Linked DNA regions of Zea mays. The protein of the gene in region 2 interacts with the protein of the main gene of each other region in a pairwise test. Links are inferred from orthologs where the notes say so. Each region holds a gene or a part of one and is shown on either strand. Other genes may lie near its edges. The genes, in order: Putative septum site-determining protein minD homolog, chloroplastic-like; chitin synthase homolog 1.

Evidence for each region.
Region 1: the proteins of chitin synthase homolog 1 (region 2) and Putative septum site-determining protein minD homolog, chloroplastic-like interact in binary tests that used the Arabidopsis thaliana proteins (3 or more experiments, as listed by UniProt). The link is inferred for Zea mays from reciprocal best matches to the Arabidopsis thaliana genes MINE1 and MIND.

What each region holds. Positions count from the first base shown.
Region 1 is NC_050101.1:65,402,307-65,406,130, forward strand, and holds the end of Putative septum site-determining protein minD homolog, chloroplastic-like, read left to right. Parts: intron 1-3,142; coding exon 3,143-3,591; 3' UTR 3,592-3,786; downstream 3,787-3,824. Other genes in the region: glycoside hydrolase, family 28 precursor, read right to left, coding at 3,787-3,824. UniProt on the Arabidopsis thaliana protein: Together with ARC3 and MCD1, regulates FtsZ ring positioning in chloroplasts in an ARC6-dependent manner. Calcium-dependent ATPase required for the correct placement of the plastid division site. Inhibits FtsZ filament and ring formation in the plastid.
Region 2 is NC_050105.1:18,841,087-18,845,401, reverse strand, and holds the start of chitin synthase homolog 1, read right to left. Parts: upstream 2,841-4,315; 5' UTR 2,788-2,840; coding exon 2,680-2,787; intron 398-2,679; coding exon 1-397. UniProt on the Arabidopsis thaliana protein: Acts as a topological specificity factor during plastid division and specify plastid constriction sites (such as the Z-ring) in a MCD1-dependent manner. Especially involved in epidermal plastids division in a FTSZ1-dependent manner.

The DNA.
Region 1 (3,824 bases), on a different chromosome or scaffold from region 2:
GCGGTTGGCTGGTGCACTTGCTCGCCTAGGCGCCGTAAGAACACTGTCCGTGACAAGTTTCCCCATTTTCAGCTCGAGGACGAGCTGGACGTCGAGGGGGGGGGGGAGAGATGTCATGTATGGGCAAACGTATAGGCGCCGTCGTGACATCACGAGTGCGGCAGAGCGGGCTGCTCACGCCACACAGGAAGGTGCCACCGTTAGTGGCCAGATTTAGAAATAAAAGATTAGTTTCCTTTCCATACCTTAAATCTAGGAGTGATTAGTTGAGATTAGTTTCCTTTCCATGCCTTAAATCTAGGAGTGATTCGACGTTGTTAGGTGCTGAGGCGCTTGACATGCAACTAATCGATTTTAGCGTTTCGGTGTCTTTAGTATTAGCATATATAGAAAATTATAAAGAAATGTAATCAACGACTTACATTCGACTAGTCACGACTAGTCAGTAACTACACGACTCCGACTCGAAAACATTGATATATATATATATATATATATATATATATATATATATATATATATATATATATATATATATATATATATATATATATATATATATATATATAGGGTAGGTATAACGGGAGCCCTGGGCTTCCAATAGTTAAAGGAAGCCCAGGCCGATCACCCCTGCAAACTGGTTCAACCAGCGCGCCCAAACAGGCTGTCGGGTGCGCCACCTGCCCCACGTCTGTTAGCGCAAAAAAGGAATGCATGCATGAGTCAAACACGATCCAATGCATGCGCATAAATTTAGGAAAGATATGTGCGGCAGTTTCTGTTTTTAAAATCCTTTATTTCCTCCATAAATTTAGGATCGCTACAACAGCCATGCAGCTAGACGCGTAAGGACCATTTTATGATATATACTGAGACTAAATATGCTACACTGTGTTAATAATTATGCAATTCGATATACTGCGTAAAAATCTGTTACCAACTGCATGCACACGAATTTATGATAAAAATAATGTGCAATGAAAGAAAATGAATTACACGCATAGAAACAAAAAATCGTATTTAATGTTTTATTTCCTTCATAAATATAAGATCCCTCCAACAGCCATGCAGCTAAAACACATTAAATCTAGTTTATGATATATACTGATACAAATTATACTACATGGTGTAGGTATTTATGCAATTCGTTACACTGCGTAAAAAATCTGGCATGTTGTTCACTGGTGGACGCACCTCCGGGTTGGAGCGTAATAACCTTAAGTTTTGAGCATAAAATCCCTCAATTATAAGCGTATATACCGAGCCAATATGAGAGGTTGATAGCTCTAGTAGGTTGTTATTACGATCCTATTTTTATGGCAGATCCGAAAAACATGGCAGTCGCATGCATGCGGTTATACAGATCCTAAAATTATGGCAAAATGCATGCATGAGTCAATCACGTTCCCTTGCATGCGCGTAAATTTAGGAAAGATATGTGTGGCGGTTTCTATTTTAAATGCTTTATTTCCTCCATAAATTTAGGATCGCTGAAACAGACATGCAACTAAAACTCGTAATGACCATTTTATGCTATATACTGATACTAAATATGCTACACTGTGTAGATAATTATGCGATTCGGTATACTGCGTAAAAATCTGCAACAGGCTGCATGCACACGAATTTATGATGGAAAGAATATGCAATGAAAGGAAATGAATTGCATGCATAGAAACAAAAAATCGCATTTAATATTTTATTTCCTTCATAAATATAGGATCCCTCCAACAGTCATGCAACTAAACGCATCAGAACTAGTTTATGATGTATACTGAAACAAATTATACTACACGGTTTAGGTATTTATGCAATTCCTTACACTGCGTAAAAAATCTGGCATGTTCACTGGTGGACGCATCTCCGGGTGGAGCGTAAAAACCTTAAGTTTTGAGCATAAAATCCCTTAATTATAAGCGTAAATACCGAGTCAATTAGAGGTTGATAGCTTTAGTAGGTTGTTATTACGATCCTATTTTTATGACAGATCCGAAAAACATGGCAGCCGCATGCATGCGGTTTCTATTTTTATACAGATCCAAAAATTATGGCAAAATCGTGGGAGTTTCCATTGCATGCGCGCAAATTAAGAACAACATAAATCAAGGAATTGTCTTTCAAATGTGCATGCAGTAAACTGATATACGAACTCTGTGTTAAAGCATAAAAACATACAGTTTTTAGCGTAAATAATACATGTGGTAGGCATAAAACACAATAAACGAAAAGAAAAATGCGCCGGATCAGAGGATGTCACGCGCGATCATCGCTGCGCGCATCTCGCCCCTTCCGTGACATCGCTCGCTCGAACATCGCGCCTCATGCGTCGCCGTCGCTACTCGCACGTCGACGGGCGTCGCTTGCTCGCCGGCCTTGGAAGTGCCGCCTCCTCGGGGCTTCGGGGACGCCGCCGCTTGCCTGCACAAGAGCCTCGCTGCGGATCGAGGAACCTCCGCCACCGCGCGTCGAGGTAATGGAGTTGCGGCCACCGGGCTGGGAATCGCCGCCACCACACAAGGGCGCTGCCGCCGCTCGCCCTCTGGATCGGGGGCCGCCACCGCTGGCCTGGAAACCGCCGCCATCGCATAAGGGCGCTGCCGCCGCCGCTCGCCCTCTGGATCGGGGGCCGCCACCGTCGGCCTGGGAACCGCCGCCACCGCCGGCCTGGCAACCGCCGCTAATGAATCGAGATGGGGCGTAAAAACTGATCCCTAGCACTACGGATTTTCTTTTATAGACGTCTGGACCTGGTTCGGCTCGACCGGATTGCACTGTCTGGCCTGGGCTTCCAATAACTAAAGGAAGCCCAGGGCTCCTAATATACAATATATATATATATATATATATATCCCCTTGGACCTTGGATTCATTGGGATGCTGATGCCAAATATTATAGTTGTCCCACATTTGTTCCTGTTGCTTGCTACAGACGAAAGGATTCCGAGCATATGATGCACTTGGCATGATTTCCATGACTATAGTCCATACTTATAATGGGATTATCAGATTTCTCAAAATTGGAGCCATTAGCGTGTAATAATATTTGTGTTAATGTGATTTGGATCCATTTACCAAGGTTTTAGTTCTGACCCATGGCATAGAAACTGTGTTAACTACAGCTGCTTGATGTTTTGTTTTGCAGGTGTTGATGCTGGGTTTGTCACTGCCATTGCACCCGCAGAAGAGGCGGTGCTCGTTACCACTCCCGACATTACGGCTCTCCGCGATGCTGACCGTGTCGCGGGACTGCTGGAGTGCGATGGCATCAAAGACATCAAGATCGTTGTCAACCGAGTGCGGCCAGACCTGGTGAAGGGGGAGGACATGATGTCAGCGCTGGACGTGCAGGAAATGCTCGGGTTGCCTTTACTAGGCGTGGTGCCAGAGGACACGGAGGTGATCCGGAGTACGAATAGGGGCGTGCCGCTGGTGCTGAATGACCCGCCCACGCCTGCTGGCCTTGCTCTGGAGCAGGCTACTTGGAGATTGGTGGAAAGAGATGCGATGACGGCGGTCATGGTCGAAGAGCAGGAGAGGCCCGAGAAGAAAGGAGGCGGAGGCGGCTTCTTCTCGTTCTTCGGCGGCAGGTGATGAGTCAAGTCAGTCTTTAGGCTGTAGATGGTGTACAGGCTCGGAGTTTATGAATGCTTTCTAGGCTAGTGCCCGATTCATTCTGTCGTTATTGTGTTGATGAGACTTGATACTACTAGTCGCTTGCATTGGACCTGAACTACAAGTTGTACTAGGCGGCTGATCCACATCCGAATACACTCCTTGATTGAGCTGCTAGTTGGTGGCCGGGATGTCGTATGCGCACTGCTGCA
Region 2 (4,315 bases):
TTGAGATATCCACTTGGACGTTATCCCTTGATTCTATCTCAACAAACTCAGACAGTGCCTCAATGATGTTCTCCACGATCTTTTTCTTTGCCTCATCACTGACTTCACACCTGTCGGAGAACAGGATCATCTTAAGCCTCTGTTTTGCGATGTTTGCATTGGAGGTATCCTTTGTGGTTGGTGCAGAAAACATTATCTTCCACGCTAATTTCAGACGGTCAAGAAAACCCATGTTAACAACATTGTGAAGGAAGCCTTCCACATCTTGAGTTATAGGAGAAAAATCCTTCCTAGAAAGAGCATAGTTCTGGGTGGAGCTGCGAGAACACCTTTGATGTTGAACACATAGCCGGCTGTGATTGCTAGATGCTCCATGAGGAAAAGTACAAAAATGGCCCTGTAGCATGACACAACTAAAATGGTATGAATTCCAGTATATTCATTGCAAACATGCTAAGAGCACATCATGGTACAAAAGCTAGTGCAATCCCAGTAAGATCCAACTGCCAATCCTAAACTCACCATACTGAGACTTGCAGTAATTTGAATAACGTCAGATCCGTATACTGTAACAGTTCAGCGAGTGGCACAACCACACTAGCTTAGTTGTTTAAATACACACACATGTATGTTGAGTTATTGCATGAGTAAGCATACATTCAGGCCTTCTGTAAACTGAAGAAATATGCACATGAAACAAACCACATTTGATCGAATGAATGAACAGAAAGACACCTAATAGAGCAATGATAACATAACTACAGGGCGGAAACAAACCACATTTGATCGAGTGAATGCATCATATATGCACAAAGTTAGCCTCAGTTCTCTTATAAATCTTAATGACAAAGCCAGTCTACTCTCATGTTGCAATTTCTCATTTCAGCACTGAAAACAAACGATGCTTAACTTGAGGTTTATATCAAAGAAATTGAAAGGAACATGATACACAATATTATACATACAGATTTTCCTCTTTTCTAACTACCTATCCAACAACATACCCTCTAGATCTACCATGTAGTACTGTACTATGAAAAACATGTCAATGAAAGAAAAGAAGGAATCATCCGGTTTGGATAGTGTCAGTAATACTGATATTTGCAAAGTATGAAACGAGATAACCATACTATAGGAGATGGAGGCAGAACAAAGGGAAGGAAAATAAAGAACAGCCCAAAAATCGGCCAGTACCAAGCAAACCTAGACATGGAAATCAGACAGTCTGGTATTATTAAGCAAGGCTAATATTGCTAGCACTATAACAAACACACCGACCTCACAAGCTTAGGGAACCCATGTGAAATATAGGAATCAAACCACTGCCAATTTAAAATTACAGGTACTTTGTCAGACTAAACTCTATATTTTTTTACAATACATTAGCAATTAGCCTACACATCACATATACTGATAACTGATTGCTATGGAGAAGACCAATACGAAAGGAGACAAAGTGGTTGACTTTGAGTTTGGGCAGAACCATCAAATGGGATACAAAAGCTGCACATATAAGCCAACACATAAAAACATGACGAGAAGATCCTTTCACCTAAAAATCAAATACAGGGCACTTATTCATGGTAGGACAATCAGTACACGACACCTCTTTTCTATGACATGATGCTTACATATCAACCCAGATATTTAGAATCCAAAAAACGTACATCCCAAGAATGTTGGGGCAAGCAAAATAATAAAATGTCAAATCTAGGAAAAATGCAGATCTAAAAGTACAGGTAATCCTTAGGCCATGTTTGGTCGGGCTTCTTTGCAAACAACTAATCTAAGAAGACAGAATCTGGAGCAGCCACATTTAGGTGGCTTCACCAACCTAGTACAAAAAAAAAGAGCTTCTCCCCTCCGGTAGGGTTTGGCAAACCTTTTTTTGAACGTAATGGTCCGCCTCTCAATTAAGAATGGAATTAACCCTGTTTTAAGGAAAAACCGGGCCCAAAATCTAACAAATACAAGAAGGTAGCCCAACGTGGAGCAAACACTGAACACACGAAGGGCTAACCCACCAACACGACGCGTAAGAGCACACATAACTGCCATGAGTCATCGCTTCCAAGCTAGATTGAAAAGCAGCCGGTGGCTCCGACTTCCCATGGCAAACCCCGGACGAACCAAACGAAAACAGACAGACGGCTTGAAGTGAAAGGTCGCAACAGGTCATTATTTTGCTTGCCTTAAACATTTATTATTTTGCTTGGGGCTTCAACATTTGGGGCTAATAAACGTTTGGGGCAAGCAAACTCAAAGAGGGCCTTAACGTTTTCCAGAAATGCAAGTGTTCCATGGGCCTACCTCACACCAATGTGGGCACTAAATCTCTATTTTGTCTTGTCAAATTAATTCCTCCATTCCCAGTTCCTAAGATGCACTTGAACATTTAGCCTACCAATCAACATAAAAATGCACTTCGCACATTCGTCAGACTGACACGAGGCAGCCTCACCCACCCATCGGACCTTCAGAGGCATGCACAAACGCCGAAGAGTAACAACCGCACGGCGGACTTCCAGCAGCCTACCGGAGCATCTCCCCGCAGAAAACTGGGCCTCCCGAGCCAATCGAAAGCCGCATACTCGTACTAATTCCACCTCAAACACGCAGGATAAACTAAATAAATGCTAGGGTTTATGGGACGGGGAGCAGCCGAGCAGGAGTCCGAACCTTGGGACCAGCGACAAGACGGAACGGCGGGCGGAGCGAGGACGCGGACGGCGCGATGAGCGCACCGGAGTCGCCGCCGACGCAGCCGCCGAAGATGGACATCGCCATGATGGATGCGACTGTGCTAGGGTTTTGCGCACCAGCCCCTTTTCCCCTTTTTCTTTTCGCTTTGTCCTCAGTGTTGGAGGCTGGTAGACTGGACTCTCGTTGGAATTTGGAAGGAAGTTGGAACGGCTGCATTGGTGCCACCAGCTCGCTTGTGCGATTTGGCTGTGTAAGGTTGGGTGTCTTAAATTGTGTCTCAGAGTGTGTCTAGTGGATGAATGTAAAAAACTCAAGACATGTATCTTGACGAAGACACAGTGTTTTAGCTCTATGTTTGAGACAGGAGACTAGCTGATTGATCACTTTAATTTATTGAATGTTCTGATTGTTACAATGAATATGGTAAGACACATGTTTTAGACATGACCACTGTATTATGTTGTGTTTTATTTGTGCCTTATACTTGGAGTACCGTGCAGCAGTGTCTAGGTTGTACATGCTCTAACCCAAGTTTAGTCACCTTACTTTAGTCACTATTTATTTTTTTAAGACTAAAAGTGACTAAAGTCTAGTCATTAAATTTTAATCACCTCAAACTAAAGAGAGTCTAACTTCTATAAGAATCACTTTAGCCAAAACTGTCTAAAATCAATGTGAATATATAATCGACCGACTTGTTGCGATAGTAGTAAACTGTCACTTTCAAAATCATAAACTCTATAGACTTTTTTATCTTCCTCCAAACGTAATTTTCACGATATTCAGAATCTCTCCACAGTTAGATTGGTCAGGCCAACTACTTGCGTGTTTGGTTTAAGGATTTAAAAATTTCAATGTTTTTCAAAAAAAAATCAAATCTATTTACAGCCCATTTGTTTTTTTGGACCGAAACACTTATCAATAACTTTGATTCGATCTTATTTTCACTCTCCATTATTTTAGCATGCCACTAATTCTTACCCTAACACCAAAAAAGTTGTAGAATCCTTTTCACTTCCAACTCATGAGCAACCGTGGTGTCGTTGTCGATGACGACAACAGGGTGGGACAAGGCATCCATGGGGCACCAAACGTGTGGTCGCTTGTTAGTGGCGGTGGCAATCAAAGAGGTGTCGGCTCGAGAAGGCCGAGTAGTGGGCTCCGTTTGGCAGTGGCATGCGAAGGCGGGCGGCAGTCACCATCGCGGTGGACATTCCAGCAACACCACCACCCCCGCTAGCCAGCCATCACCACTGACAACCACTAGCGTCGAGGGAAGAGCCAACGAAGTCTTCTAGAGACAAAGCTTTGGTAGGAAGGGAGGTATATCTCTAGGTTGGCGAGCGGTGGAGACCGAAGAGGGGAGCTTGAGCTTGCTTTGGGTCGCGGTCTTTCTGCTTCGGGGAGTGCTGGATTTGTCCTGTAGTGACAACGTTGTGTTGTGTTGTGTTGTGTCGAGTGCATGTTCGAGTGCGACATGTGTGTGTGTGTTTGTACTTAGGTTGGTACGCTGGTGGCGTGCAGGATTATGGTGACACCACCATCGATGCCTATGTGCATGTCCCCTTCTCTCCTAACAACGCATAATTGATTTATCAGATTCTACTATAGC